Pelodiscus sinensis: one gene and its partners. The main gene of each other region encodes a partner of the protein of the gene in region 2 in a complex. Links are inferred from orthologs where the notes say so. Each region holds a gene or a part of one and is shown on either strand. Other genes may lie near its edges. The genes, in order: DRC7, DRC4, DRC10 and DRC8.

The links.
Region 1: DRC4 (region 2) and DRC7 share a complex: the UniProt entries of both Homo sapiens proteins name them as parts of the nexin-dynein regulatory complex. The link is inferred for Pelodiscus sinensis from reciprocal best matches to the Homo sapiens genes DRC4 and DRC7.
Region 3: DRC4 (region 2) and DRC10 share a complex: the UniProt entries of both Homo sapiens proteins name them as parts of the nexin-dynein regulatory complex. The link is inferred for Pelodiscus sinensis from reciprocal best matches to the Homo sapiens genes DRC4 and DRC10.
Region 4: DRC4 (region 2) and DRC8 share a complex: the UniProt entries of both Homo sapiens proteins name them as parts of the nexin-dynein regulatory complex. The link is inferred for Pelodiscus sinensis from reciprocal best matches to the Homo sapiens genes DRC4 and DRC8.

What each region holds. Positions count from the first base shown.
Region 1 is NC_134722.1:45,650,894-45,657,750, forward strand, and holds the start of DRC7 (dynein regulatory complex subunit 7), read left to right. Parts: upstream 1-3,853; 5' UTR 3,854-4,272; intron 4,273-4,367; exon of another isoform or gene 4,368-4,513; intron 4,514-6,857. Other genes in the region: uromodulin-like, read right to left, coding at 285-452, 1,035-1,101, 2,397-2,441. UniProt on the Homo sapiens protein: Component of the nexin-dynein regulatory complex (N-DRC) a key regulator of ciliary/flagellar motility which maintains the alignment and integrity of the distal axoneme and regulates microtubule sliding in motile axonemes.
Region 2 is NC_134722.1:2,206,862-2,214,825, reverse strand, and holds the start of DRC4 (dynein regulatory complex subunit 4), read left to right. Parts: upstream 1-4,949; 5' UTR 4,950-5,019; coding exon 5,020-5,022; intron 5,023-7,901; coding exon 7,902-7,964. Other genes in the region: DBNDD1 (dysbindin domain-containing protein 1), read right to left, coding at 203-233. UniProt on the Homo sapiens protein: Component of the nexin-dynein regulatory complex (N-DRC), a key regulator of ciliary/flagellar motility which maintains the alignment and integrity of the distal axoneme and regulates microtubule sliding in motile axonemes.
Region 3 is NC_134725.1:14,337,146-14,345,106, reverse strand, and holds the start of DRC10 (dynein regulatory complex protein 10), read right to left. Parts: upstream 3,003-7,961; 5' UTR 2,669-3,002; intron 2,650-2,668; exon of another isoform or gene 2,592-2,649; intron 2,540-2,591; exon of another isoform or gene 2,211-2,539; intron 2,071-2,210; 5' UTR 1,928-2,070; coding exon 1,214-1,927; intron 1-1,213. Other genes in the region: TPCN1 (two pore channel protein 1), read left to right, coding at 4,448-4,556. UniProt on the Homo sapiens protein: Component of the nexin-dynein regulatory complex (N-DRC), a key regulator of ciliary/flagellar motility which maintains the alignment and integrity of the distal axoneme and regulates microtubule sliding in motile axonemes.
Region 4 is NC_134713.1:132,586,595-132,594,468, reverse strand, and holds the start of DRC8 (dynein regulatory complex protein 8), read right to left. Parts: upstream 3,015-7,874; 5' UTR 2,878-3,014; coding exon 2,847-2,877; intron 2,742-2,846; exon of another isoform or gene 2,577-2,741; intron 1-2,576. UniProt on the Homo sapiens protein: Component of the nexin-dynein regulatory complex (N-DRC), a key regulator of ciliary/flagellar motility which maintains the alignment and integrity of the distal axoneme and regulates microtubule sliding in motile axonemes.

The DNA of each region.
Region 1 (6,857 bases), about 43 Mb from region 2:
GCGAGGAAGAACGAGCTCTGAGCCTGTGGCCCACCTGCAAGACAGTCGCAGACCACCAGTAGTCCACACTGAGAACCACTGGTCCAAGGCAACACTTTTGGGTCACTTTCTTGCAGGGATACACTTTTCTGACAGCTCAACAAGTCCTGTCTGCATAATCCCACCAAGGAAGGGAAAGTCTCCTCCTGACACTTGTTTGAGCCCGTAAGTGGCGCGAGTCCCGCTCACGACCACTCGAATGGACACGTTCTCGCAGACCACGTGCAGCGTGGCCCCCGGCCTACCTTGACAGAACGCCCCGGTGAAGCCAGCGTTGCAGGTGCAGTTTGGTTTCCCCTCAACTACTTGGCAGACTCCCTGGTGCTTACAGGGGTTCGGGAAGCACAATCTCAGGCCTCTCTTGGGACGGAGGGCAGCCTCTCGCCTCGGGTCCTGCAGCTTCTTCAGATCGGCTAGAGCAGGAGGAACGTGTGGATGTTCGAGGTCATCGGGACTAAGCGGTTGTCACGGCACAAGCTACAGTTAACCTATCTAAGCTGGAGTCCATGTTCGGCTCGGTGGGGAGGGGATCTCGTTTGACACAGATGGGGATTCTCTAAGTCGCTGCTCACATCCCAGGAGAACCTTCCCACGGATGACGGAACCGCCTTGGGACACTCCATCCAAGACAACGCCTGTGCAGTGCCCATCGAGAGGGAACGCCCAGGAGTCCCGCGTTAGAGCTGAGCTCATTAGCAGCCGAAGCTCAGCATGGTGTGTGGCTGCCCTCCACTGTTACTGGAGATGCAGAACCTCCAGCTCTGGCTTGGCGGAGAAAGGGCTTCCCCTCAACAAGATACAGAGTTCCCACTGCTGCCACCAACGCTTTAGCAGAGCTATACGTTTTGGTGTCCTTCCACCCGCCCTCCTCCCTGCCAGCATTTCTGCTCTTGGGAGAAGCTACCAGTACTAGCCCTGCTCTGGGTAAGTAGCTTGAATGGGATTTCTTGTCCTCACTATTCAACCTACCCCTGTATCCCCCAGCATAGACTCACAATTGTCGCTCTCGCTGCCAGGCAGCCAGAGAGCAGAGAGAAGCAGCAGGCATGTCACAGTCACTTCCTGAAAAAACAAACACACACCAGCTTTTGTTTTGATTTCTAACATGCTCCTCTGTAGCCTCTGGAAACACAAGCAGCTGTTTAAAAGCCTCCCTGCAGCTGCAGAAGGGGCAGAGACGTTTAACCCGTCTAGAAAAGCAGGGGGGCGGGTCTATTGTTACTTCACCAATCACCTAAGACCTGAAGGGTCTGAACAGCAAAATCGTCTTCACCAGCTAGTGCAGGGCCAGATTTTCTCCAGCTTTATAGCAGCATAGCCAGTAGAGATACGCCACCACCAGCCTCTTCCCCAACTTAGAGAGCATGCAGACACAAATAAACCCAGACAAGTGACAAGAGGCCACTACTAACAGCGGAGCGCTTGCAATGAAATCCCACGGTCGGGGCTCCCGTGCACACAGACAGAAGGAGGGAAGAGTTGTGAGCGTCCCAAGGAAGTGGCAAATGTCAAGAGAAACAGCATCTTCCTGCGGGCCCTTTGCCCAGCGAGAGTGAGGATGTGGCTGTTAAGGGAACATACATTTACTCACAAACAGAAAAAGGAGGCAAATCAACCACCTCTCACCCTCCCAGCTGCCTATTTCAAGAGTGCAGCCGTTTGACACTGAAGGGGCCGCCGCATTGGCAAGCTTGTTAGAAGGCAGCGTGGGCTAGTGGATAGAACGCCAGTCTGACTCCACTGTCCTTAACACCAGGGACAATGCAGGTGTAAGCAGTTACCAGCCTGACCCAGGACTTTTTACACCTGCGTTGTTACTGGCTGCACAGCTAAGAGTCTGGAGAAGACTCTACTGTCATTGACTCAGTAGGAGACTTTGGACAGGTCACAGGCCTCACTTACCCCATCTGGGATATGGGAATATTATTAGAGCACAAGTTGATCAGTGAGGGCATACCACAGAGAAGCTCTATTATTAGCCCAGGAGTCCTACCCCACAGACGCAGGCCAAGTGCAATAAAAGCCAAAAGAGCTAGCAGGCAAGAGCCGCACTTGGATCAGACTTTCCCCGCTGCCTTGTGCCTTCTGCAGCCAAGCAGGCTGATGCAGCAGCATTTTGCACTCACTTTGCCTGAGGTTAAAGGACCGGACAAGGTGCAAGCAGCTGAGGAAACCAGGCCCTTTATTTAAAGGGAGAACAGGGGCTCATAAGAAGGCCTTTAGGAAGCCCTGCCAATGGCTTTCAGGAGGCAAGTAAACAGAGCTGCCCTCTTGCAAGCAACGATGAGGAAGCGAAATCCAGCAACAGCCACAAACAGATCCCTCCTCGCTCCTGAGATTTCATTTGCTCTACTCACCATTGCCAGACCAGCAGTGCCTTGCTCACCCACAGCTGTCCCCATTGCCTGCAGCCGCCTCAGGTGCCAGACTGTGGGGGTGCCACTAGTTCACGCTTTGTGAACAAGGCATTTTAAGTTGTTAGTTCTCCTTTACGGGGGTAGGGAGCAGAGCAGCCCCATGAGAGGAGGAGAACAGGAAGGAGGCAGAATTGAGACCTTTCAAAGTTTTGGCCCAAGTGAGGGGACATGGGGGCGTCATTTGAGCTCCCCGCCTCAGGTGCCAAAATGTTGTGGGCCGGCCCTGGCATCTGGGCCCATTTAGCGTCCTGCATCAGCTGCATTGAAGGAAGGAGCTTTTTCTGTTGGAGCACGAGCCATGAGCACTGGCACATTCGTGGCACTTGTGGCTCCCCGAGAGAGGAGTTTGCATTCTCCTCCCGCCCCACCCTTGTCTGTGAAAATAGCAGGTTTCCGTGGCTGGGGGGTGCTGCTCTGGACACAACAGTGAGACTAGGAAGCTTTTTCTTTCTTACACAGACAGAACTGGATTGCAAACCCTGTTCCCACACATGTGCCAGCCACACTCAGCTTAGGTATGAAAGGACGACTCTCTAGCCCAAAGCTCGAGTGCATGGTGGGAGGGAACCTTAAAGCTTCAGAAAATGGAGAGCAAAGAAAAGAGCCCAGTGTGGATTACTCTAAAAATTTAATTTTTTAAAGCAAGATCCTGATTCTTGCATCCTGGGCCCCGTTTGCTGCCCCCTGTCCCCCTCTCCCGTCCCTGATGCATCTACTAGTCCCGCCTGCCATGCCCATGTGGTTTAGAAGGACCCTGGTCCCCACCTGTATTGCAGGGCTAGGGTGGCTTCCAGCTGCTTGCTCTGCACAGCTGCTGGCACATCCCTGTCCCTGAGGCCCCAGAGGGGGTATCTCCGTGTGCTGCCCCTGCTCTGAGCGCCCCTGCAGTTGATGGGAAGCTGTGGGTGCAGTGCCTGTGGGCAGCAGCACACAGAGACCCCTCTTCAATCCCCCCAACCTAGGAGCTGCTACCAGAGAAGGTGCCCCAGGTAAGTGCTGCACCCCCACTCCTGCCTTCTGGGCCCCACCCTCTCCCAGAGCCTGCACCCCCATCCCACTCATCTACTCACCTCCCAACTCCCTCCTGCACCCCGTCCCCCCAAAATTCACTAGCCCCAAATTCACTCACAGAACCTGCACTCCTCACCTTCTCCCACACCCACCTTCTCTCCCAGAGCCTGCACCCCAAACCCAATCCCCTGCCCCAGCCCAGAGCCTGCACTAGTGATGTGAGCTTATCAATTAAGTTTGGTGGTGGCCAGCCACGCTGGGCCACAGCAGCCCTGGCCGCAGTGGGGCTGGCAGGACCCTGAGTGCGGCAGGACCCCAGAACCACAGTGGGCCACATGGCGAGAGCCCACGGTCGTAATGGGGCCAGCTATGGGACCCCACCACCTACAGGTTTGCTCCGGAGCGGGGGAGAGGTTCCTGACTGACAGTAAAACTGATCAGAGGCACAGGGGGAAATTGGCTGGACTCCTTTCTCGGTCCGCGGGAGATGTGGAAGGTGAACCGGTGCCCCCGCGGCGGAAAAACAACCATTCGGTCCCACGTGTGCCGAGACAGGGTCTGGTGCAGGCTCAGTCAGCGCAAACGGGGCCTGCCCCAAACCCGGCCTGGGCCCACGTGCACCCCGATGTCACATGTTCTCCCCATTTCTCCACCAGTGACGCAGAAAGGAAACCGGTCCTGCCTGAACGGCCAGTCCCAGCCCTAGTCTGGTCTCCGCGCGGGGAACCGCTCCCGACCGAGGAACTACAGCTCCCAGAAGCCTCGGCCCTTGGACGGCGGTTGCCATGGCGAGGGAGACTCACAGGTGGGAGAAGCCGGCGAGGCGGCTGTGTGCGGAGGCGGGGGGCGGGGGGTCCTCCGGAGGGGCTGTGCGTGTGTGTGACGGAGGGTGGCAAAGGCAGGGGTGGGGGTGAGGGGAACAGGGGCCTGTCCCGGAGCAAGGAGACACCGAGGGCAGGGTGCAGAAAAGGGGCATCCCCGGAAAAGCCCAGCGCCTGTGCCGTGTCCCCTGGGCAGAGCGGGGGGCTGCGGCAGAGCCCGAAGAGGTGGGGGGCTGCTCCCCTTCCAAGCCCACGTGTCTCCCCATAGGCACTCGGTGTCTGCAAGGGGAGGGCCACCCAGAGGACCCAGGACGGAGGGGGCAGGAGGGAGCACCCCATTTCGCAGTCACACTTTGGAGGGCTTGCGGGGAGGGCAGGACACGCCATCACCCGTGGCCTTGGTGTCTCAGGCAAGCGTGTTTTTAGAACCGAAAACCAGGCCGTTTTCCCAGATTATCCCAGCCGGGGAGGGAGGGCGGATTAGAAGGGGGGGGGGCAAGAAGGGAGGGGCTGGCACGGTGGGAGCATTTGGGAGCTGGAAAGCGAGGGGCAGGGGTTTGCTCCTGAGGAGGGGAAGGTTGGACTCCCTCTGGCCAGGGCCGGCCCACAACATTTTGGCACCTGAGGCAGGGAGCTCAAATGACACCCCCATGTTCCCCTCGCTTGGGCCAAAACTTTGAAAGGTCTCAATTCTGCCTCCTTCCTGTTCTCCTCCTCTCATGGGGCTGCTCTGCTCCCTACTTATGCACCAGCAGCAGACACAATTTTCTACACTCTGGGTCCTAGTGGCGCCCCCCACCCCAAAATCTGGCACCTGAGGCGGCCACCTCAGTGCGCCTCATGGTGAAGCCAGCCCTGCTTCCCGCTCCTCCACCGTGGCTGCTGCAGCAGACCTCAAGCAGCCAGACTTTCAAGGCAGAAGGAGCAAAGTGAACCATTTGCACAGGGCAGTGATTAAAGGAATTGGGCGGGGGAGCCATGCCTGGGAGAGGAGGGGAGCCCTGTTTGCTCTGAACAGAAAAGGGAGCGCGTGCCCTCCTCCGTGTCCCGGTGTAGCGCCTTGCACAGTCAGCCCTGGCGGAGGCTGCATCAGTACGACCGGTCAGTACAAACACTCAGAGGAAAGCGGGGTGGGGAGCAGACAGAGGAGAGTTTCATGCAGACGGCAGGAGAGTTTGACAAATCTTATAAAAGAGACCTACAGCCATGAGGTTGTCGATGGGACAAGTTGGTTTGTTCCTGCCGGATCCTCCACTCTGGCTGGCTGGCGCAGTGTAATCCAAAGCCCAGGACAGGGAGAACTCCAGCAAATGGCCCAGGTTGTGTCCAATGTGAAACCACTCCGTCCTCTCCACCCTTCGGGGGCATTTCTTCAATAAATGCCTTTCTCCGGCTGGCTTCCTTCCACATGCCATTCATGCTGCCAACCAAAACAGTGCCCGATAAAGAGACGGCTTGCGTCTCCATTTTCACTTCTTATCTCCCCAGCCTTCAAAACGCACAGTAGGATCAATTTAAGCTTAAAAAATCAAACCAAACACATACCAAAAAACCCCACAACAGGCCTTGGAGATATAGACTCATAGACTTTAAGGTCAGAAGGGACCATTATGATCATCTAGTCTGACCCCCTGCACAGTGCAGGCCACAAAATCTCACCCACCCCTCCTAGAATAATCCTCTCACCTATATCTCAGATATTGAAGCCTTCAAATACTTTGAAGACCCCAAGATGCAGAGAATCCTCCAGCTGTGATCTCTACCCCATGCTACAGAGGAAGGCGAAAAACCTTCATGGGGTACAGATCACAGCTGGAGGATTCTCTGCATCTTGGGGTCTTCAAAGTATATTTCTGCTGCCTGCTATTTATTGAAATGTTAAAAGTCTCCCCGTGTACACCCTGACCCGCCATGCGCTCTCTGCCCTCAACACAGCCTTATCCAATACTCCGTAGCGGGGTTCCACAACTCAAGGTCAGCACATCTGAAGTGGCTGAGAAGAACTACTTTTTCCCCAATGCACAACTAGCCACAAGATAACACCAAGGCCAATAGCGTAGCAGGATTTTTTTAAAAATGAAGTGGACATTGATAAGGGTAATGGGAACCTCCAGAGTAGTCGGAGTAAGGATTAAAATAATTAGGTCTTTTGGAAGGGATCTAAACCCTCATGCTTCATGGCACCAATCAGGTTCTAACTCCAAGGGGTCAGGAAGAAATTCCCCTATGGACAGGATATTCCATAACTGCTACTTCTTCCTATCCTTTTAAAACAGGGGTGGCGAATATAAGGCCCGGGGGCCAGATGCGGCCCCCGGCTTGCCTGGATCCGGCCCCTGAGGCTCAGGGCTCTCCCCCAGCATTGGGGAGCCCATGCTGATGCTCCAGTCCCCCCACTATTCTCCTAAGGGGCTGGAGCACACAAAATCTACTAGCCCGGGTCCCCCTAGGCTCTGGTATGCGAGGGGAATGTGGGAAGTGTCTTTCTGGTTCTCAGTCGAGGGCCACATCAGTGGGGGAGTTGTTTGTTTTGGGGGGGGGTTGTTTCTCACTTGTGTGTGGCCCCTGA
Region 2 (7,964 bases):
GCCGGGCTCCGGGACCGGGGGCGGCTCCCTGCGGCGCTGCACCTGCCCGGGCCGCGGGTCCCTCCCGTCGCCGGTGATGGGCGCGGGGCGAACCAGTCCGGGCGCGCCCAGCAGCAGCCGGGGGCCGAAGGAGGCGCCGGGGCGGGGGGCGCTGCCCCAACTTTCCCTGGGGCGGGGGCCCCAGCCGGGAGCCGCCACCTACCTGCGGTCCCCGCTCCGCCGGGAGCCTCCATCCGGCCGGGAGCCCGGGCGGCGTCAGGCCGAGCCTCCGCGTCCCCGCAGCGCTGCGCCCGCGCCGGCCCGCATGGCCCCGCCGAGCCCCGCTGCCCAGCCGGCGCTGCAGCGCCACTCAGCCCGCCGCGGAGCGGGGCGGGGCCGCAGCGGGGGGCGGCAGCGGGCGGGGGAGCGGCGAGGACAGGTGCAGCGGGCGCCTTTCTCCCCCTCCCCGCGGCTGGCTCCCCCCGCTCTGCGCTGCTGACAGCCGGGCCGGGCTCTACCTTGGCCGTGGAGAGGCGGGGGAGTCCGCACTTCCAGGGGTGAAGGACGCGCCGGTGGGGTCCATACGGCCCCCCAATGCCCCTTCTTGCTCCCACCTCCCCACAGGGGGGGCTGATGGTAATGGGAGAGCCCCCCCCCCCACGCCCTCTGGTTTGGTGTGGTCCTGGGGCAGGGGCTGCTGCCCCACAGAAAAATCAGTCGGGGGCCCACAGAAGGGAGACACAAAACAAAACCTCACTGAGGGGGCCCCGACTGAGGAGACAGACTCCCCCCTCATTCCCCCGGGGGGGGCACAGGCTAGGAGATTGTGTGCTCCAGCCTGTCCAGGAGGTGGGGGGCTGGAGCACCAGCCTGGGATCCCCAATGCTGCGGGGGGCTGGGCCTTGAGTCAGCAGACTCCTTTGCCGGCTCACAATGCGGAGTCTGGAGCCCCTGGTGCAGCGGGGGCCACGTGTGTTCACCCATCCCCAGCAGGGATGTTACATTTGAGTTAATTGAATAGTCGAGTAACCTCATAAATTCTGATCGGTTACTTGACTATTCTATAGTCCCCGGGGGCGGGCCGGCAGCCAGTTCACTCCAGCCCCACTCCCGAGGAGCCCCCTGCCACTCTGCACTGCTGCCCCTCTCAGAGACAGCAGCGTGGGGTTCCAGGTGGGAGCTGGTCCGCGAGGGGAGCCAGTTTAAAAACCAGCTCCCTTCATGGACCAACTGCCTGCTGCTCCACGCTGCTGCCTCTGATACAGAGGCAGCAGCATGGGGTGGCAGCAGCCCCTGCCTGGGGTGGGGGTCTGAGCGCCCAGACATGGTGCGAGCCAGAACTGAAGCAGGCTGCCAGCCCGCCTGGCTCCTAACATGCTTTAAATGCAGAGCTGCCATAGGGGGAGGTCCTGGACCTGGCACAAACCAGGACTGAGCTGGGCTGCTGGGCAGCCTGCTAAAAAACTACACTATTATATCCCTAATCCCCAGCAGGACCAAATATGCAAGGGTGGGCCCCGTTGCTGGGGACAGGGCCCTGCAGAACAGGGTGGCGGGTGGGACCTGGGAGGGCTAGTGGCTGTGGCTCCAAGGGGAAAGGATCGGGGTGATGTGACATGGAGCCCCGAGCAAAGGAAGATGCTGTTGCTGCATACAGGCTCCGGAGCCAGCAGCAGGGTCGTGGCAGGCAGGGTGCCCGGGCGGCACAGACCGGTGCCTACTGAGGAGAGGTCGGTAGGAGGGGAGGGAGGAGTGCCCGGAAGGGAGCTTAGGCTGAGCAGTGGGGGGGGGGCTGTTTCTGAGGCCCAGTCCACACCTCAAAATCAGATCAACTTAGCCCCGCGGCCCAGGGTGTGAACAGGCATGTGCTCTGTGCGATGGTTAGGCCGGCCTGACCCACCCCCAGGGAGGTGCCGCTAGGCCTGCAGGAAGCAGGGTTCTGCTGAAAACCTGCCTGCGGTGGGCAGATTAACTGCCCTGACAGAAAGCCCCCTTCGGGTGACATCCGAAGCACCCCAGCAACAGCAGCACAGCTGTACTGGAGTCGCCAGCTGTGTCATCTGTCCAGCCAAGCCCCTCGCCAGAAGGGCCCGCCGAGCCGTCTGGGGAAGCAAGGGAAAGCAGATTGCACCTGGCTTGCTCACCGGCTGGGGGGCTCAGGGGTCCCTAACGGGCATGCCTCCATCAGTGGTCCCCATGGAGCTTTGCTGGGGTGGAGACTAGGGCATCAGAGACAGCAGAGCTGCTGGGGCCCTGGGTGTAGACCTTGCTGGCCCCGCTATTGCATGAGCCTCAGTGATGCCATCCCATGAGCTCTGATTAGTAAATCTGTGACGCAGTGTCAGTACCTTGCTGGTCACTATGCTTGGGCTGTGGGTGACCCCTAGTGGCCAGTGTCCGGAGCACTGCCCAGCAGGTGGGCTGCCTAAGACCTGACCGGTCTGACCGGTTGAGGGCACCAAGGGAACTAGGAAGTGAGGGTTGAGGGAAGGGTCAGTCTGGGGCTGGAATCATGAAGGAACCAGTCTAAGAAGGGGGTTGGAATCTAGGGGCCCTGAGACCCCATCTTAAGGGGGCTGAGGCATCCTGGCCCAGACTCCTGTAGACACATCGCATCTGTGCTGTTTCCGGGAGAAGCAATAAACCCCTCTCTATTCTACCGGCTGGTGGGTCTGTTCTTGCTGCTATGGGACTGCAGGATCGGAGGAACCCCAACACGTCCTCACATAATCCAAGCACCTGGGAAGCTCCCAGGCGGGGCAGCCTTTCACATCCACCACCTCCACTCATATCCCCCACGGGTACACTGCCCTGGCTGGGATGAGCCGTGCATTTGCTGGATGTGCTCTGTCCCCTGCTCTCTGATGGGCTAGATCTCCGGGGTTCCTGGCCTGTGAGTCCCATTCATGCTTGCCATTCCAAGGCGTCCCATTGTGTCCCCCAAGTCCATCCCTCATACACACCCTGCCAGGAGCAGCACCTCCTGCTGGCTGCCAAGAAGAGACCTCTCTGGAGCTGCCAAGTCAACGTGACAGGCGCTGGGTGCAGGGGGGGATCAGGGCAGGTCACTGAGTAGGAATTTAGGCCACATTGGTCAAACCCAGGTGCCTATGCTCCAGTCATAATTAAACTGCAATGTATTCCATGAGGGCACCGAAGTCTGGGAGGTCTCCCTCTCCGCAGGGCTCAGCACAGGCGGGAGGGGGAACTTGGTACCATGCAGACCCCAGCCCTGGTATTTGAACATTCTTGCTGTGCAGCCCTTCCTGGGAAATTAGTGCGAGTTGCCATCTATTGTGGAGCTCCCTGGTGCTGGTTTTCCCTGCTCTGTTCTTACTGTCCTTGATCTAGGCCGAGAGGCAGGAAAATCCTGTGCATCTACTATAAGAACTCTATGGTGTATAAAGCACCCACAGGGCATAGCTGCCTCATCTCAGGATCCCTGAATCCGCATCAGAGATGCCTCCCACTCGGTCCTTCCTGGGAGAGAATCTTGCACGGTTGTCTTGGGATGCCCATCTTAGGGAGGCAAATCCCAAAACTCAAAGGGCTTTGAAGCAACAGCATTAATTGCATCTGGAAACTCACTGAAAGCCTGCTGTAGAGTGCTCTCTGTGTGAAACCTTGCTAGGCAAGAAGGCAGCTGCATATGCTGAGGGTCATGGCTGGCAATGTTCCCTCTAATTTTTTCCATCCATGTGTGAAATAAATTTTATGTGCATTGAGCCATATGCAGATGTGCACCATCAATGCTGCCAGCCATGGAAGGTTGTGGGTGCTTTGCTAATCAGCCAGAAGGCATTTTAATCTCTTCTGGGTGGCTGCCCAAGTGCTCAGCTTACAAGGAACACTAATGGACAGCTTTTGGGTGTAGTGCCACACAAAAGTGCATGCTGCCTCTCCCTGCACTGAGACCAGGATCCCCTGAATCGGGTGAAGGTTACACCAGAAAGATGCCTGTGCACTGGCATCTTGGGTTGTTATGTGTTCGCACCATGATCTCCAGACCCACACTGTTCCCTTTTGAAGTCAAGAGGAAGTCAATTAACTGCAAACTCCCCCTGGGACCTGACAATCCAGCTGTTCCATTCACCTCTGCCTCCCCCGACTGAGGAGTCTGCTGTTAGATCATCCTGGCCTGATGGCTCACTGCACAGTGCAGGCTGGACTCCAGCTGCTTCTCCCATGGCTGTGATGCACCTGAGTAGATGCTTATAGCCTTAATATGCCTCACGGACATCTGGGGAGCAGATCTGGGAACTTGGTATAGGCCCCTAGCTAGAGTGAAGCCCTAAGAGACCCAGTGAGTCCACAGGGCCCGGAGTTTGGAGGGCCCTCGGCCTGTCCCCCTAACATGTACAAAGGCTGAGTGATTTTCCTGATCAGTCCCATCCTCAGCATCTGTGCATCTTTGTGGTGCTCCGGGGAGCAGAGGGGCACAGCTGGCAAGAGCCAAGGAAGCCCTGGGCCTCACACACAGCTTGCTGTGCACGGTGAGTGGGGGGATACTGCAGCGCAGCAGGGGACGGGGGGCACACCAGGCAGGCCACAGCTGGAGCGCCCTGCTCCACGGAAGCTGTGGCTGGCGCTCGGAGCATGGCAGCCTGGGGGTGTGTGGCCAGGGGCAAAGCACACGAGTGGATGCCGAGAAGACTCGGGCTTGGCCAACGTGCCGGGTGCAAGGCTGACGGGCCACGGGGCCTTCCCCTCCCCCTGGAGCCGGGGAGCCGGGCACCAGCGTCCCCCGTGAGCGGGGCCGCCCCAGCTGGGCCGCTGCTCCTGGCGCTGCCCATGCGCACGTGGAGCGACGTGTTCCGCACGCGGCCGGGAGGGGGCAGACGGGCTGCACCGCGGGACGCCCGGGCAGGGGCGGAGCCAGGGGTGGGCGGGGCCAGCGGCCCAGCGGCGCTCAGGGCCTAGAGTAGCGCTGCCGGCGGTTGCCAGGGCGGTGACGCGCGTTGCTATGGGCAGGAGCTCTCGCGAGACTTGCCCGGCGGTTGCCAAGAGACGCGGTGACTCTGAGCCCGCGCCCCAGCAGCCATGGTGAGGGCTGGGGGGTCGGGGGGGCCCGGGGGCAGCAGGAGGGGGGGGGTCGGGGGGGCCCGGGGGCAGCAGGAGGAGGGGTTCGGGGGGGGTCGGGGGGGCCCGGGGGCAGCAGGAGGAGGGGTTCGGGGGGGGTCGGAGGGGCCCGGGGGCAGCAGGAGGAGGGGTTCGGGGGGGGTCGGGGGGGCCCGGGGGCAGCAGGAGGAGGGGTTCGGGGGGGGTCGGAGGGGCCCGGGGGCAGCGGGAGGAGGGGTTCGGGGGGGGTCGGGGGGGCCCGGGGGCAGCGGGAGGAGGGGTTCGGGGGGGTCGGGGGGGCCCGGGGGCAGCAGGAGGAGGGGTTCGGGGGGGGTCGGGGGGGCCCGGGGGCAGCGGGAGGAGGGGTTCGGGGGGGGTCGGGGGGGCCCGGGGGCAGCGGGAGGAGGGGTTCGGGGGGGTCGGGGGGCCCGGGGGCAGCGGGAGGAGGGGTTCGGGGGGGGTCGGGGGGGCCCGGGGGCAGCAGGAGGAGGGGTTCGGGGGGGTCGGGGGGGCCCGGGGGCAGCAGGAGGAGGGGTTCGGGGGGGGTCGGAGGGGCCCGGGGGCAGCGGGAGGAGGGGTTCGGGGGGGGTCGGAGGGGCCCGGGGGCAGCGGGAGGAGGGGTTCGGGGGGGGTCGGAGGGGCCCGGGGGCAGCGGGAGGAGGGGTTCGGGGGGGGTCGGGGGGGCCCGGGGGCAGCGGGAGGAGGGGTTCGGGGGGGGTCGGAGGGGCCCGGGGGCAGCGGGAGGAGGGGTTCGGGGGGGGTCGGAGGGGCCCGGGGGCAGCGGGAGGAGGGGTTCGGGGGGGGTCGGGGGGGCCCGGGGGCAGCAGGAGGAGGGGTTCGGGGGGGGTCGGGGGGGCCCGGGGGCAGCAGGAGGAGGGGTTCGGGGGGGTCGGGGGGGCCCGGGGGCAGCAGGAGGAGGGGTTCGGGGGGGGTCGGAGGGGCCCGGGGGCAGCGGGAGGAGGGGTTCGGGGGGGGTCGGAGGGGCCCGGGGGCAGCGGGAGGAGGGGTTCGGGGGGGGTCGGGGGGGCCCGGGGGCAGCGGGAGGAGGGGTTCGGGGGGGGTCGGAGGGGCCCGGGGGCAGCGGGAGGAGGGGTTCGGGGGGGGTCGGAGGGGCCCGGGGGCAGCGGGAGGAGGGGTTCGGGGGGGGTCGGGGGGGCCCGGGGGCAGCGGGAGGAGGGGTTCGGGGGGGGTCGGAGGGGCCCGGGGGCAGCGGGAGGAGGGGTTCGGGGGGGGTCGGAGGGGCCCGGGGGCAGCGGGAGGAGGGGTTCGGGGGGGGTCGGGGGGGCCCGGGGGCAGCAGGAGGAGGGGTTCGGGGGGGGTCGGGGGGGCCCGGGGGCAGCAGGAGGAGGGGTTCGGGGGGGTCGGGGGGGCCCGGGGGCAGCAGGAGGAGGGGTTCGGGGGGGGTCGGAGGGGCCCGGGGGCAGCGGGAGGAGGGGTTCGGGGGGGGTCGGAGGGGCCCGGGGGCAGCGGGAGGAGGGGTTCGGGGGGGGTCGGGGGGGCCCGGGGGCAGCGGGAGGAGGGGTTCGGGGGGGGTCGGAGGGGCCCGGGGGCAGCGGGAGGAGGGGTTCGGGGGGGGTCGGAGGGGCCCGGGGGCAGCGGGAGGAGGGGTTCGGGGGGGGTCGGGGGGGCCCGGGGGCAGCGGGAGGAGGGGTTCGGGGGGGTCGGAGGGGCCCGGGAGCAGCAGGAGGAGGGGGTCGGGGGGGGGTCGGAGTGGCCCGGGGGCAGCAGGAGGAGGGGTTCGGTGGGGTCGGAGGGGCCCGGGGGCAGCGGGAGGGGGGATTCGGGGGGGGGTCGGAGGGGCTCGGGAGCAGCAGGAGGAGGGGGTCGGGGGGGGGTCGGAGTGGCCCGGGGGCAGCAGGAGGAGGGGTTCGGGGGGGTCGGAGTGGCCCGGGGGCAGCGGGAGGGGGGATTCGGGGGGGGTCGGAGTGGCCCGGGGGCAGCGGGAGGAGGGGTTCGGGGGGGGTCGGAGGGGCCCGGGGGCAGCAGGAGGAGGGGTTCGGGGGGGTCGGAGGGGCCCGGGGGCAGCGGGAGGGGGGATTCGGGGGGGTCAGAGGGGCCCGGGGGCAGCAGGAGGAGGGGTTCGGGGGGGGGTCGGAGGGGCCCGGGGGCAGCAGGAGGAGGGGTTCGGGGGGGGTCGGAGTGGCCCGGGGGCAGCGGGAGGAGGAGTTCAGGGGGGTCGGAAGGGCCCGGGGGCAGCGGGAGGAGGGGTTTGGGGGGGGTCGGAGGGGCCCGGGGGCAGCGGGAGGAGGGGTTCGGGGGGGTCGGAGGGGCCCGGGGGCAGCGGGAGGAGGGGTTCGGGGGGGGTCGGAGGGGCCCGGGGGCAGCGGGAGGAGGGGTTCGGGGGGGGGTCGGAGGGGCCCGGGGGCAGAGGGAGGAGGGGTTCGGGGGGGTCGGAAGGGCCCGGGGGCAGCGGGAGGAGGGGTTCGGGGGGGGTCGGAGTGGCCCGGGGGCAGCAGGAGGAGGGGTTCGGGGGGGGTCGGAGTGGCCCGGGGGCAGCAGGAGGAGGGGGTCGGGGGGGTCGAAGGGGCCTGGGGGCAGCAGGAGGAGGGGCACGTGCCCGCACATGCATGCCCCTAAGCCCCCCAGTGCTCAGGCTGCTCCATAAGGCTCATTCTCCCGAGGGCAGCTTGTGAGCCAGGAGCCCCAGTGCAGCGCTGGTGGAATGGCTTTGGTGTGGAGATTCTTGCACCTTTACAGACCCTCCTGCACTCTGGAAGCTGCTCAACGGGCACTGGTGCCAGGATCCCCCCTGTGCCATCTCATTGATACAAATTGCATTCATGCCCAGCAGCAGCCAGGTGGCAGTGGCACCTCCGCAGGTCTGAGCTAAGCCCCCCGTCACATGTTTTCTTTTCTTTTCTAAGGCGCCCAAACAGAAAGGTGGTAAGAAAGCCAAGGCTGCAGCGGTGGTGGATGCCGTCCCCCCA
Region 3 (7,961 bases), on a different chromosome or scaffold from region 2:
GATGGAGAACTATGTTTGAGTGCCTGAATCTAAATATGCAGGGATTCATTTTAACTGTTTTTAGAATTAGATTTACCCAGTACTGTTTGGGCCCTTAACTTCATTATTTTTTGTTTTTGGAAAATAAAATGAAAATGCTTCATTTAAAGCATGCATTGGAGAGGGCGTGAGGATGAGGGGTTCAGTATGCATCAGAGCAGCTTGGGGCCAGGTGAAAAGCACCTCCCCATAGCTGCTGCGGCTCCACCAGGTACAACCTGGGGAGGGGTACATGTTCCCAGGCTGAGACAAGTCCTGATTTGTGCCCCCTACAGTCCCCAGCCAGATTGAGGATTGCAGCAAACTGCACTTTCCCCTTGCTCCCTGACAAAGAAGAACAGTCAGCAATGTTCCCATATGAATTGGGGGAAGGAGGCACGACTTCAGCCCACTCTAAAGAGGGCCTGGAGGGGAAGGGAGAAAGTGGCTTGGCGCTGAGGAAGTCCCAGATGGGGGGCAAATCCCCAGCTCACCCCTTTCACTTGCCTGGTAATTCTGTTTCTTTTCTATATGGTTTTATGAGAAGGCACATTCCATTTTCCTGGCACAATCAAACCCTTACCTTGCTTTTAGTCAGTAGTTCCCAATCTTTTTTATACTGTGGACCAGCAAACCCATTCACAAACTTTAGGCAGACTGTTAACATTTTATTTGCTTCCTTCTGCCACCGTCTCAGCCCAGTGCCGCAGCCAGCAGCAAGATCGGCCACACAGGTGGTGAGGGGGAGGCCAAGCCACCAACTTATCTGGGTGGGAGCGGGAGGAAGGCTCCTGCTACCACTTCTGTCACAGTGCAAAAATCAGTCTCTATGGGTGCTGGAGATAGTTGAGCCTCTGCAAACAGCCAGCTTCAGCTCTGGCAGCTGCTGTAGCCCAGCAGCCAGCACCGTGGACTGGCTGTTGGGAACCGCTGCTTTACGTTATGATAAGAGAAGGCTGTACACTGTATTTGGTAGCCCTAACTCTGTTTTGGAAAAGTTCTTGAACAAATAGACAGACATATTCTCTCAACTATATTGTAGATATAACTATTTCTAATTCAGAATGTGTATTAAGAAATATTTTAGTGACTTCCACTTTGAGAGGCAACAAACAGAATATAGTTTAGTTTACTGGCCTTTCCTACAATGACCTAGGTCTCTAGTTTGAAATGTTTAGTCTTACCACCACTGTACCTCATCATCTCGACTCTGGATTGCCATTGCAAGTTCTGCCTCTAATGCTGCAATAGTTTCACTGTTTTTCTTTTCCTGGAGGGAGATTTCTTCCATGAATTGAATCTTTTCTTGTTCTTCTAAGGGACTAGTCAGGAGTTTCTCAAATAAGAAACCCCGGAATTCTGACAACCTTTTGAGAAACATTTCAGATGATAAATCCCTAGCATAAGCCTCGTCTTTCACAGCTTGAGAAGCTATAGGGTCAGCCTGAAAGAGTCTCAGAATATTTCTTATAGAGCTTTTTACAGCTTGTTGATGCAATTGAAGACGGCGGTCAGTTCCTACAAGGTCCCCTCTTCCATCATCCTGCTTCAGGAAACCTTCTCTTTGAAGCTGGGTAAGTAAAGCTTCCATGTTGTTTGAAAGCCGCTCATGCTCCTTAAGGGTACCTATGAGCTCAGATCCCAGGATAGTGCTTAAATCACCCACACATTCAGTAATGTGAGAGATCAGACTGATCAGTTCTATCTTAAAGATGGTCTCATCCAAAACAGATATGATCCTCTTTGTCTCAACAGTGGTAAGTTTTGAACGAGCTGGATCCAAAAGCTTTAGTGGACTTGGTTTCATCACTGACTTTCTTGGAGTCTGACTGTATCCCATGGAGGGCCTGGTGGTTGATTCAGTTGCCTCATATGGCAACTGGAGCACGATAGCCACCTCTGTTGCCATATTCTCAGTCAAATATTTAAAAGTTCTAAGATGAAAGGGAGCAAAAATCTTCTATATGAATACAGTCACAGAGGACATCTTAATACACGTAGATTTAGATTCCCCTGCTGTTTTGCTGCATGCTCTTCTTTCACAACATTTACCTGAAAAAAAAAAGTTTGATTTTAGCATTAGCATCATGATATACCTTGGCCAAAATTGAGAATGTAAAATTATATGGGGTCTGTCTCTAAGTTTAAAAGCACATTCAGAATATTGGGTCCTTATGCCTATGACAGCCCACCCTCCTGTGCTGGAGGTGAAACTAATTCTAGTGGTTAGCCTCCAGTGCCTGAGACAGCTAATGAGCTGTTTGTTTCCTATGCTGAAAAGTGGAAGGAAAACTCTCCAGCCCTTGTGAGACTAGACTGAGATGGGGCAGGGATGCCCTGCTTTGGGGGGGAAGAGGGCTGGTTGCTCAGTCCCGTTGGAGGCTCCTAGGTCTCTGTGGCGGTGGGTTGAACAGGGGCTGGTCTATCAGAGCAGGTGGCCAGGTTGGTAAGGATGGGGGGGGGGGAGGTGGCCTGAGCGTGGGAATAGGGGAGCAAGCTCCCCGGTCTCCCTGGGTGGGCATGGGGGCAGGAGGCTGCCGGGGGTGCGGGCGAGGTCCCCCAACTCTCTTCACTTGCTCACACCACCGCCGCCGCCTCCCTTCCGGTCCTCTTCCAGCGTGTCTCTGTTGCTAGGTTACCCCTCGCTCACCTTTAACCCCAAACAAAGGAGGCGGGGATAGGTCCTGACTGATTTGCCCCCTCCCTCCATAGCCAATCGCCGCCCTTGTTCGGTAAGTTTAGCCCAGCCCCTTCCTTCTCCGTTGGAGGGCGGAGTCAGGGCAGAGACTTCGAGCCTTCTGTCCAATCCGAAACGGAAAATTTAGCCCTTCCTTTGATGGGCAAGACCAGAGTCCAATGGAAGGACAGAATGAAAGACACCCGGATGCCCCCCTTCCATGAGCCGCTGTTGCTAAAGAACGGAAGTAGGGCCGATTGGTCGGTCTCAGGCATGGGGCGGAGTCCTGAGGGAGACGGCCAATAGGCGGGGTGTGGACAATCGACGGCTGACTGAGGCGAGTTGTTGCAGCGACGGCGGGTTCGGGTCTGCTGTTGGTGCGGCCGGCGGGGGTCGCGCGGGCGGAGTGGAGAGTCCACGCGCACAGTGTGCCGAGGGGCGGGGCCGCTGCACGAGGAGCAGCCGGGGCCGGTGCGTGTCCCTGCGACCCTCCTGGGCAGAGAGCGAAGCTGAACCCCCCGGTGCGAGCGGGTCCCGGGGCCTTGCCCTGGCCCGGCGGCTGTCTGGCCCCGCCTCCCTGGGACTTGCCCCGCCTTCCCCGCGCAGGGCGAGGGGCCTGACTGGCGCCCCCCCGGTATCCGTAGGGCTCAGGAGTGCGGGTTTCGTGTGAGGCTCCTCCCCCCCGCCCCCGCGCTCCGCCCCCCGGGCAGGCTCCTCCCCCCCGCGCTCCGCCCCCCGGGCAGGCTCCTTTCCCCCCCCGCCCCCCCCGCGCTCCGCCCCCCCGGGCAGGCTCCTTCCCCCCCCCGCCCCCCCCCGCGCTCCGCCCCCCCGGGCAGGCTCCTCCCCCCCCGCCCCCGCGCTCCGCCCCCCCGGGCAGGCTCCTTCCCCCCCGCCCCCTCGCTCCGCCCCCCCGGGCAGGCTCCTTCCCCCCCCCCGCCCCCCCCGCGCTCCGCCCCCCCCGGGCAGGCTCCTTTCCCCCCCCCCCCCCGCGCTCCGCCCCCCCGGGCAGGCTCCTTTCCCCCCCCCCCGCGCTCCGCCCCCCCGGGCAGGCTCCTTTCCCCCCCCCCGCGCTCCGCCCCCCCGGGCAGGCTCCTTCCCCCCCCCCCAAATCTATCCCCAGGGCAGGCACTTTGAAAGAGAAACCATAGTGCTGGGTTTGAGGCCATGTGAGCCAGTGGTGCTTCGCTTCTCGCCTTCAGGCTAAGATCAGCCAACTGTATGCTAGGGACCTGCGCCTGCCTCTCTGGGGGTACTCCAGCACCCCTCAGGCGGGGGGGAGGTGCGGCTGAGGGGTGGCGGGATGCAGAGTGATGTGGTGGTGTCACCTTGTTGTCCCTCAGGAAAAATATATGTGGAGAGAGATGCGGCTTCTGCCTATTCTTTATTAACAAACATTGAGAAATGTACCCAGGACTATTTCTGTCCTAAATTAAACCATGAGTGGTGTAGCTATTGTGGTTGAGGCTAAGTTGGATCAAGTTTATTTATTTTTTAAATGGTGAGGGGTTGGTTGTAAACTAATGTTACTAATGAATTTACTTCTCTGAACTATTCTTTGCAGACAACTTGGTAGATTCTTTTTTGTATTGAGACCCCTGGAGATGGGTATGTTTTTCTGCATATTACGTCTAGAAGATGCACCTGGTTGATGGAGAACTTTCTGAGGAATATTTTTGACCAAGTGTTCTTGAAAGGTGGACTGCAAAAGACATTATTTAAAATTCTTAGGAGAGAAACCTGAAAGGAAATACAATGGCTGTAAGCATGGATGATGATGTTCCCCTCATTCTCACTTTGGATGAAAGTGGAAGCAACACCTCAGCAGTCAATGAGCTGGATTCAGAGGACTTGCCTAATGAAAGTAAGACTACTTGATAGGTTTTTTGGGGGGGAGGCGGAGGGAGGGAAGCATAGTTTATTTTCAGTCACCTGCTGTAATTGTGGTTTCAGTTTTTCCCCCCAGCAGTTCCATTGTATTCTTCTTATGGAAATCTTACACAATAATTATTCACAGTCTTAGGAATAACCTCAAGTACCTATTTGGAAATTGTTTATTTGCTCAAAACTCTCATAACTCTAATGAATGTTTTGAGTAGTGAAGGAATAAATGACTTGATCCTTTATATGAGTCTGTGTCATGCAACCTTTGATACTCTCAGGTAATAAATTGAGGAGTTTTTGCCCCTAAGCTGAAGTTTCTCTTTTCCATATCTGTGCTCCGAGCTATGTGTGTTCTCATGTGATGCCATTGGACCAGGCTAACACACAGTATTTGCAGTCATGTCATCGGATGTTTCCCCTAGAACATAAACTTGTCTGTCTGTAGCTGCTGTATTTATTTTTTACTCTTTTGGTTCTAGTCAAGAAATTGATCCCTTATGTAATCTTGCTTCATTCCTGCTCTGCACAGTCTGTCAATCTTAAATTTACGTCCCTGATAATTGAGATTTTTTTTTTATATGGGAAGAAGTGCTAGTATTTGTGGTGTGTATTTTTTAAATAGAAATGAGATAATGCTACCTCTGCCTATTTGCTTGGATCAAATAAACAGGACTTCTTAACATGCGGCCCGCGGTCCATTTGTTTGCGGCTTGTGGTGCAGTTTAGGTTTACATGGGGCTCAACACATGGCCCACAGATGGGATCCTTTGAACATGACCTTAACTGGGAATACACTCCACAACCACGAGGCATTTCCCAGGTGGGGTGAGCACTGAAAGTCATGAGCGGACAGGCTGGCTGGAACAGATGGGGGTACAGGGTGATGGCATTTCTACCTCTCCGGGAGGAGGTGCTGACAGCACTGGGACATTGTGGGAAATGCTGACTGCTTAGGTTTGTGGGCAGAGCCTGAGAAGTGCTGACTGGCTCACACTGGCCACATTTAGGTCCAGCACCCAGCTTAAGGTTTAATCTTTGTATTCATGACCGTCAGTGTGAAAGAAGCTATTGACATATACTTGCATATATATGCAACCCCACATAAGTTTCAGCCCTCCGCATGTGTTGTGAGCATCATTGTGGCCCCTTGGGCTTCCAAAGTTGAGTAGACCTGAATTAACTTACAATTTACTTTAAAAGTAACCATGCATGCTCCGTTCTTGCTATTGGTAGTATGTGCATGAGCTTCTGTATCTGTGCAGACACCGATGAAATCAGCTGGACTCTGCACAGCTTGATTGCTGAATCTGCACACTGTACAAGGATGGGCAAATACTGGCCCACAGGCTGGAAGATGGTTCCCCAGGGCAGGATCCTAGCAGGCCATCACTGCTACATTTAACTGTGCTTCCACAGGTATGGGTGATTGCAGCTTCCGTTGGCCATGGATCTCCATTCCCATGAAGCGGGAAGTGGCATGAGGCCGGAAGAGATCCTCCAAAAAAGCTTCTTCTGAAAGAGAGTGTCTACTCAGGAAAAGCACATTGCTTTTTTGAAAGATAGCATCCGCACTGAATGGATGCTCTCTTGCATTTAAGCTGTAATTACTATGGATGGAGTGGAGTGGCCACCAGGACACCTGTGATTTTTTTCCTCTTTCCTCTTCTTCCTACAAAAGGACTCCCTCTTCCCCATCCACACACGCTCTTTTCTGAAAGAGCTCTTTTGGAAAAAAGTTTCGTCCTTATAGAAAGAAGTTGACCAGTATCAGAAAAAACCCTCTATTCCAATTTTTTTTTTTTTTTTGAAAACACAATTGCAGTGTGGACTTAAGTAAAGTTTTTAATCTAAGATGTGGGAGTACCATGGATTAATATAGAGGCAATAAGATATTCATTGTCTTATTCACTCTGCCTTTTTAATGATTCCGAACATTCAGTTTGCTGTTTTGACTGCTGCTGCACGTGGCGTGGATGTCTTCCACAAATGATCCACAGTGACACCAAGATCTCTCTTGAGTGGTAACAGCTAAATTAATCCCCATTAGATTGTACATAGATGGGTTTATGTTTTCTAATATGCATTACTTTGCATTTATCAACATTAAATTTCATCTGTTGTTGTGTGAGATCCGTTGGAAGCTCTTCAGTCTCCTTTAGACTTAACTGTTTTGAGTTGTTTAGTATCGGCAAATCTTTTGCCACCTCAATGTGTATCCCCCTCTCAGATCATTTATGAATATATTGAATAGGATTTTTCCTAATATAAACTAGAGCTGTGGAAGGTTAACCATAACTGGTAAGCATTACCTGTTTAGGTAACTGGTAACCAGTGGGACCAGGAGCATCTTCCCATCTGCAGTGGGCAGTGAGCTGTGCCAGTTCCCAAGGGGGCCAACCACTGACAGGGGCTGCTTTCTTCCAGATCAGCCTCTCCCAGCAGGGAGCCTGACCCCACTGTGGGTGGGTGCTGCTCCAGTAGGTTGCTGGGAGCTCCCAGCAGCCCCGCTGGATTGATACCCCGCTTTAGTCAGTTAACCCGTTTAAATGATAACTGATTAACTGGGAGTTTACATCTCTAGTATGGACCTGTGGAGGAAATCACTAGTTACCATTCGCCATTGTGAAAACTGACCATTTATTGCTATCTTTAGCTTCCTGTCCTAACCTGTTATCAGTCCTTGAGAGGGCCTTCCCTCTGAAGACGTTTGAGAGACTTTGTCAAAGACTTCTTGCAAATCTAAGTACACTATATCTACTGGATCCCCCTTGTCCACATGCTTGTTGACCTCAAAGAATTCTATTAGATTTAATGAGTCATGAAACCTTGTTACGCATGTTAACCTTTCCCCAACAAATTATGTTTATTTATTAGGGATGTAAGCAAATAGTTGAGTATTCGACTGCTCACATTTCTCCCTCCGCCCCTTGATGCTTCTGTATGAAGGGCAACAAGAGCGGAAAAGGGGGAGTGGGAGCTGACTTAAAGCCAGTCCCCTCTCCCCGCAGCACAGTCTTCATGGTACTGCTTGCTCCCTTCCCCCCATTCCCACACTTCTGCCTCACAGGGGATGCTGCTGCAAGCTACAACTTCCAGGATCACCTCTAGAAACTTTTTTTAAAAACTGGCGTCACATTAGTTATCCTCCAGTCACTTGATACAGAAGATTAAAGGGTCAGTTATAAGCCACCATTAGTAGTTTTGCAATTTTCACAGTTGAGTTCTTTCAAAACTCTTTGGTGAATACCATCTGTTCCTGATGACTTAATACTGTTTATCAGTTTGTTCCAAAATCTCCCCTCGTGATACCTCAATCTGGGACAGTTCCTCAGATTTGTCCCCTAAAAAAGTTTCAGGTTTGGGATTCTCCCTCACATCCTCAGCT
Region 4 (7,874 bases), on a different chromosome or scaffold from region 2:
CAATTTAGCGGGTCTTTACTAGACCCATGAACTTGACCCTCCCAGGAAACTGATCCCCACAGCACTGATCTCCTAGTACATGTAGATAAGGCCTAAGTACAGATGAAAATTAATGCATAATAGCTAAGTATTGTTACATTACAACATGTGGAAGTAGCCACAGTAACTATTTTGAGACTGGATTATTGCAAATCACTCTACCAAATTACCTGAGACAAAGGTCTACCCACAAACTAGAGATACCACAACATGCAGCAGCTAGTCTGCTAAGCAGACCACTGCAAGTACATCACAATACTCTGTGCTCTACTCTGGATAATTCTGGTTATTATTAAAGTCCTTATCTTTAAAGCCCTGTGTGTTTAAGTGAGGGCCAACCTACTTCAAAGGCCCTCTTCGATTCACATAATACCTTCTTTCTACAGGAACACTGGCTGATACAACCAGTGATAATTTGCCAGCGAATGATCAGTAAATAGAAGGCTCTCAGCTGTGGAATCTGTTACCAGCAGAAATCAGGATGAGACCAAGTCTTACACTTTCAGGTCATGATGCAAGACCTCTCCCTTTTGGTAGGCATTCCCGTAAGATTTATGCATGAAGTGGCTCTAACTACAGGGCCAAATGAACCATATAGATGTAACTAACTACTCATTTATTAGCCCCATATAACTGAATGGAAAGAGGGAAAAAAATCAATTATTTATTCTGAAAGAAAGTTGATGTTATTTCTTAATTTATGCATGGTGCCTACATCTAATAGTAATAGGTTGCTTAGACATACATATAACAATAATTTCCAATTCCTCATCACAGCAATTAACAGCAAATATTTCTGTAGCACTGCTCTATTGATTATACCGTTTTTCATAATTAACAACAAACATTACATTGTTTGCTACTGAAATTTGATTATTTCAAATACAATATGTAGAATTCGCAAATTTTGAATAACAACTACTATTAGTAGGGGGCAAAATGCGGACTAAAGATTAAAATACATAAAACTATTGAGACTAATGCAGCAAATAAATTGTATTTCTGATTTATCTTGGGATATGATGAGGTTAGCATTCATGATGTTTGAATATTCTTGTTATAAATCATACTTGTGGTCCATTAAACATAGCATCTGTTAATGCCTTCTATATTGAAATAGTATGAACATTATCACTTAATTTAATATCACACTGATTACTTTTTCTTGGCAGTGGTGACTAGCTATATTTGAAACTGAAGTATAATAAATTGTACAAGCAGAGGGAACAGCTAACTGGTCAAAACATTAGATTCCAACTACTTAGATCCTTTGGAAACACAAAGTCAGATCCCAAGAGGATCAATTTGTTTGTTTGCTGTCCAAGGTAGATAGAGTTGCAAACAGCTTACTGTGAATGCATTTCTGCTGTGGTAAAACCAAATGTCTGCTCCCCAAAGTCATTAACAATCCCATGATACTTTTTGTAAGGTTTGCCCTAGAGTAAAGGGCCAAAAGTAATCCCTTCCCCTCAAATACACTTCAGTGGTGGATGAATTACTTTCATCATGTATGGTGCTGTGTATAGTTTGTTAAATCATTTTACAAACTACGGTGATGCATATGACTTTTATTATACTAACAAAGCACTGCAGAAGGAAGGATTGTTTTTTATTTACAATGTCAAACTGAAAGACTATAAATCCAAAAATTGAGACTAAAAACAAGGGCTGGTTTCTCCTTGATTGAGGCATGAGCTGATATTGCCTTTTCATTCTAGACTCTGATGTGAACTCCCTGAAGTAAGTAATGACTATGTGTGAGGCATCATGAAAGGAAACAAAAGCACAGGGGCCAGACAAAAAGGTGGGGCGGGAACACTCTTCAATCCCAGCAAAGAATGTGAAGAAACAAACCTACCAAAATGTTCCTTCCATAAATTGACCCAGACATCTTTGGTCTTCCTGCCCTACACCATCTCCTACTGTCCCCGTGTCCAACCTCCCCCCCTACACCCTCTCCCCGTGTCCCCGTGTCCATCCCCCCCCCTTCACCCTCTCCCCGTGTCCCCGTGTCCATCCCCCCCCTTCACCCTCTCCCCGTGTCCCCGTGTCCATCCCCCCCTTCACCCTCTCCCCGTGTCCCCGTGTCCATCCCCCCTTCACCCTCTCCCCGTGTCCCCGTGTCCATCCCCCCCTTCACCCTCTCCCCGTGTCCCCGTGTCCATCCCCCCCCTTCACCCTCTCCCCGTGTCCCCGTGTCCATCCCCCCCTTCACCCTCTCCCCGTGTCCCCGTGTCCATCCCCCCCTTCACCCTCTCCCCGTGTCCCTGTGTCCATCCCCCCTTCACCCTCTCCCCGTGTCCCCGTGTCCATCCCCCCCTTCACCCTCTCCCCGTGTCCCCGTGTCCATCCCCCCCCTTCACCCTCTCCCCGTGTCCATCCCCCCCTTCACCCTCTCCCCGTGTCCCCGTGTCCATCCCCCCCTTCACCCTCTCCCCGTGTCTCTGTGTCCATCCCCCCCTTCACCCTCTCCCCGTGTCCCCGTGTCCATCCCCCCCCTTCACCCTCTCCCCGTGTCCATCCCCCCCCCTTCACCCTCTCCCCGTGTCCCCGTGTCCATCCCCCCCTTCACCCTCTCCCCGTGTCCCGGTGCATCGCCCCGCGAGGGGCCCCGGCAGAGGGCGTAGGGTGGGGAGGCTCCAGTCACTTCCTCCTGGGCCCAGCCCAGCCCGGGGTTCCTGGCCCTGCGCGGCCACACAGAGGTGCTGGGACTAGGGGCGCTGCTGCCCGGCGCCTTCTCTCGGGGGTTTGGCGGGGCGGGGGCTGAGCCGCTGCCGGGCCGGGTCTCGGCCCCGGCGGTTTCTTACCCGCCGCGGCTCCCTCCTTCTCCTCCGCCATGGCGGCCCGCAGCCGCCGTCACCATGGCAACGCGGCAGCGGCTGCTGCTGGCCTGGCCGCGCCCGCGCGCTCCCAGCTCCGGCTGAGCCCGGCCCGGCCCCCGGGACTCTCGCTCTCCCCGCAGAGTTTGCAGCCTCCTGTCCCATGCGGGGGGGAGCCCCTGACGCTCCTCCCCCTCCCCTTCCAGGGATGTATTTTATCTGGCAGCAGGGAGCCTGCTCCAGCCACCCCCGCTTACTCCTGAGCCCAGCCCCAGCCTTGTAGGGACGTTGCACAGCAAGACAGAGGTGCTGGGGCTAAGGGTGCTGCAGCCCCGACTTGAAGAATTTTCCATCATATCAGGGCTTGCAATGGTTCAGTGGCTATCAGGTCCCCTAGGCTGAGGTCAGCCCCTCCTTGCTGCAGGGGGAGCAGGCCCAGAGAGGGGAAGTGACTTGTTAAGGTGATTGTCCAGCTCCCTGCCTAACTCAGTGGTTCTCAATCAGGGGGTATGTAGAGGTCTTCCAGGAGATGCATCAACTCATCTAGAGACTTGGCTAGTTTTACAACAGGCTACATTCCTGCACAGCCCATAGCAAATGAAATTTCAGACAATGATTTGTTGAAACTGTTTGATATACCTCATCCTGAAATGTAAGTGCAATAGTTTCAATTGATTTACTTTATACTGTAGAAATTGAAAGGTAAGCCATGTTTCAGTGGTAGTGTGCTGTAACACTTCTGTATTTCTATCTCTGATTGTATAAGCAAGTCATTTTTAAGTGACATGCAACTTCAGGGTACTCAAGACAAATCAGCTTCCTAAAGGGGGATAAAGGTTTAGTCTGGAAAGGTTGTGATCCACTGTCTATCATACAAGTTTGTAGCGCACTTGTGAAGTTCAATTAAAAGTCCACGTACATTGCAAAGCAAAAATAGGCCGCTGTAGTTTACGTTGCAGTGGATATATATCCATGTCTATGTAGCACCAATGAAGGAATCCCCTTTTGGGTTTAACTTAGTAACCACTGAAAACCACAGCTCCCACTAATTTCAACAACAATAAATAAACTCTTTTGTCTGTCTTTCGCCCTAGCCCCAATGCTTAATTCTACAGAAACACTGCAACTACAACCAAACAATATAAAAATGAATAAAATAGTTTAAAATGATGGTTTGTTGGAATCTGGCCATTATGTTTTATCTTCTTCAGGAGATTACAGGCCTGTGGATAATGGGTATAGAAGTCAGCACACTTCTGTGTAAAAGTTTCAAATTGCTGGCTACTCCCAAATATTTAATCTAGTTGTGGAATTTTTGTTTTTTATGTTTAGTATTACACTGTTATTGCCATCACTATATTGAAAAAAAATATGTTAACAGTCATTCACTCTTTAGAAATTGTCTGATTTCAAAGCAGAATTGGCACCACTGAAGAAGAAAAGTCCATGGTCCTGGTCCTGCAAGCATTATGAAAAATAGTTATTATTGCCACAGAGTCCTATTGATTTCAGTAGTAAGCAACCTCCCTTCATGCTATTTTCAGCATAAGTCCCTAATATATTCGTTTTCTATCAAAAAGCCTCCTCCTGTTTAAAAGTGTTTCCTTTTGGGGTAGTCTCCCTCAAATAAATAATGTGATGCTGTGAATTATACAATCTTGCCCTTTCACAGAATCAGGCTTTTTAAAATGGCACATGGCAGCAGTGAAAGGACTCTCCATCTATGCACTGAAAAATTAAAAGACATGTTATGCTTAAATAAAGAAAAACCGACATAGCTAAAGTTTTCTTTATATCCCCTGACATTGAGGGAAAATCCAGATTAAAATTTTGGCTGAGAATTTACACATGCATGCAGTTCGTGGCTTTTCAAACTCAAAATCAACTCTGAAAGTTAAAAAATACAAAATATAAACACAAGAATACAATCAAGCTGCATTGAAAAGTGGTGCCTCAGTTATTTCAGAGTGCTATTTTCTTAAATGAGAAAAAATTATTTAGGGATATTAATGTTTAAGTTAAGGATTCACTCAGATAACAACCATAGTATTCATTTAGGATTTCACAGCAAGAACATTGATTATAAAAGTCCTAGAACTAGACCCTTGTCCTTGCCCTAAGCAGCTGCTTTTTCTAATGTTGAAGTGCAGCAAAGAAGGGGTGATGATTATTTTTCCCACAACAAACATAGTTATGTTGTGCTCAGAGATCATGCAAAATAATAGAAACTTACAACCAGTTCACCTATAAAATTGAACAGAACCAGAGCTCTTTGCTTCCTAAAACAAATTATATTTTTGTAATACTGTAATATAAGTTATTTTTTTAAATGACCACACCATGATACCCCTTGCAATCAGTTATTTTGCCTTTGTCATTTATTAAAACATAATGTAGAATAAAAAATGGGCATAATAAGAGCCCTAATACAACAGACAATTAGCTTAGTGAAACATCATCTCATGCTCTTGAATGGTTTAGTGGATTAGTAACATTTGAGCAAAGCTACTCTAAATACTACACACATTATCTTCCTTAATGCAAAGCACCAGAGTCACATCATAATGAAAAGTAAACACAACAAATGACAGTCTTTGGCCAATAATCTCCCTCCACATTTCATGGTCTTCACATAGCCTTGAGAAGAGTGCCATATGGCATCCCATCTAATTAGCCACAACATCATTGAACCATCTTAGCCATGAGCACCTCCCTGAAGTTGGCACCAATCTCTACAAACTTGCTTCAGGAGTCTTGCTCAGCTCAGCTCTCCCAAATGTCTTGCAAACTCAAATTTTCTTTGATCATCTTGATAATATCAGGTATCATTCCAGTCCTGCTGTAAATTTGGGCAAGTACCTCCTCATTAATCAGGTATAAGGGATAACTAATGTGCAGCAATTGCTTGTGTCTTTTCAATTTAAGAGACTTCCTGCCTTCAGTGCCCTGTTTCCTACGGCAATGTCTACACCAGAGCTTACAGTGGCACAGATGCGCTGAGGCAGCTGTGCTGTTGCAAGGTCTCTCATGTAGCTGCTCTGTTTCAATGGGATACAGCTCTTCTGTAGAGATAACTAACACTCCCTGCCCCCCGCCAGTAAGCAATGGTAGGTATATTGGCAGGAGACACTCTCCTGCTGACATAGCACTGTCCACACCAGCAATTCTGTTGATGTAACTTATGTTGCTCCAATTGTGGTGTTTTCACAACCCTGAGCAACATAAGTTACCAACAAAAGGAGTAATGTAGACAGCCTAAGCATCAATTTCTCACAAGCATGTAGCAAGATGCTGAGGACAAGATACTGCAGCAATTTAATTTTACACTTCATGGTAATTCCTTTGCTTCTCCAAATGTGGCTGAGTGTTGCTAGAGCAACAATTGTGATTCCAGCTTCATGTCAGATTTCTAAGTGATGTTTACCATCCCTTCTAGTCATACTACCTACGTGTTTGAAGTGCTCAATGCTCTTCAAATAGAAGTTGCAGATTTGGATAGGAATATCTTTGCCTTTTCAGTGGACTTAGATTTCACCATTGTCCTTGTTTGGTTTTGTGTGTGTGTGTATGTAATATCTTTTGACCTTACTCTTTTTAGCCGTTTTTGCACCTTTTCTTACAATGATCCCATCAGCTGAATACCATCAGTGAAGCACAGATGACTAATTTTTCATCCACAGAGGGGTTTTCTTAAAACTTCTTGAAGATGTCTGTAATATCATGCAACCCCTCGGACACTAATCAAACCAACTACTTTGCTCATGCCCCACAAATACTGAAGCCATTGCATTTTCATAGAGATATTGTATCCACCTTATTATTTTTTCACCGACTTCACTGAAACATAAGATTGCCTGAAGTGGTTGTGTTCTATGCTGTCAAATGCCCTAGCAAAATTCACAGAGGTATGGACCACCTTGCCAACATTCTCCATCACTTTCACATATAGCACAGACAGGCTAAACATTTGCTCCAGGTCCAAACCCAGCTTGTTTTTCAGTGAGAAAATTATTGGGTGCAACTCTCTTCAGGATCATGTGCAATAATATTTTGCTCAGGTGTGTCAATAATAATTGGGTCCCCCTTTTTAGGAATAGAAAACATCAGTGATTGTGTCCAAATTTGGGGCCATCCTTCAGACTCCCAAATCACATTGACAAGCTTATGGTATGCCCAGATGAGTGCCTCTCTACCACTTTGCTTGTGTGTTATCCACTGTAGAGACCTTATTGTTTTTCAAAGTCCACACCACATCTTCTACTTTTGTAGATAGTAGGGGAAAAGTTCATCAGGAAAATCAAGCTTTTCAGGCAGATCCACTCTGCTTCTTTCATTTCCAACTTAGAGTTTGTTTTGCTCATATTATACAGTTATTGGTGACACCTACCCAAGTGTTGAGTGAAATGGTATTTTTCCTGTGAGGGAACCCTTTCAAGGAATTTTGATGATTTGTTAAGCTTTCCTAGTAGCATTTACTGCAAAGAATTGTGTATATAAATGTACTGTTGTTCAAGCCAATTTTCTTTTGCCACTTTAATCAGTGCATCTATTCCTCATGTCATGGGAATATTGCTGTCTTGCAGTTTCATCCATCTTCTTTTGTTCTCTCTTAGCTTCCTTAATTGATTGCACAACTTGATAATATTCTCCATTTGTGGCTCTGTTTGGAGTGGCTCACAAGCAACAATACAAATGCAAGGCAGACTGTTAAGAAGCAGGCACAAACCCCTAACTTGTTGTGTGTTCTATACATAGATTTCCCCCCAGCTAAGTAGCAAGTATAAACTCCTCAGGCACAATACAGTGGTCAAGCTGCCTTTGTTAGAAATCTCAGCCCAGAGATGAAAGGCAGGAATGAGGCACAGAGATGATGTCACAGTCTCTAATTTATACTCCCAGTCGAGGTGCCTTGAAAAATACTGGCTAAATATGGAGTCATAAATCACATGTTCTAATGCTTTGCTGAGTCATGAGGCATCCATTGTCTCTGTGCTCTCTAAGATGTGGGTTTTCAAA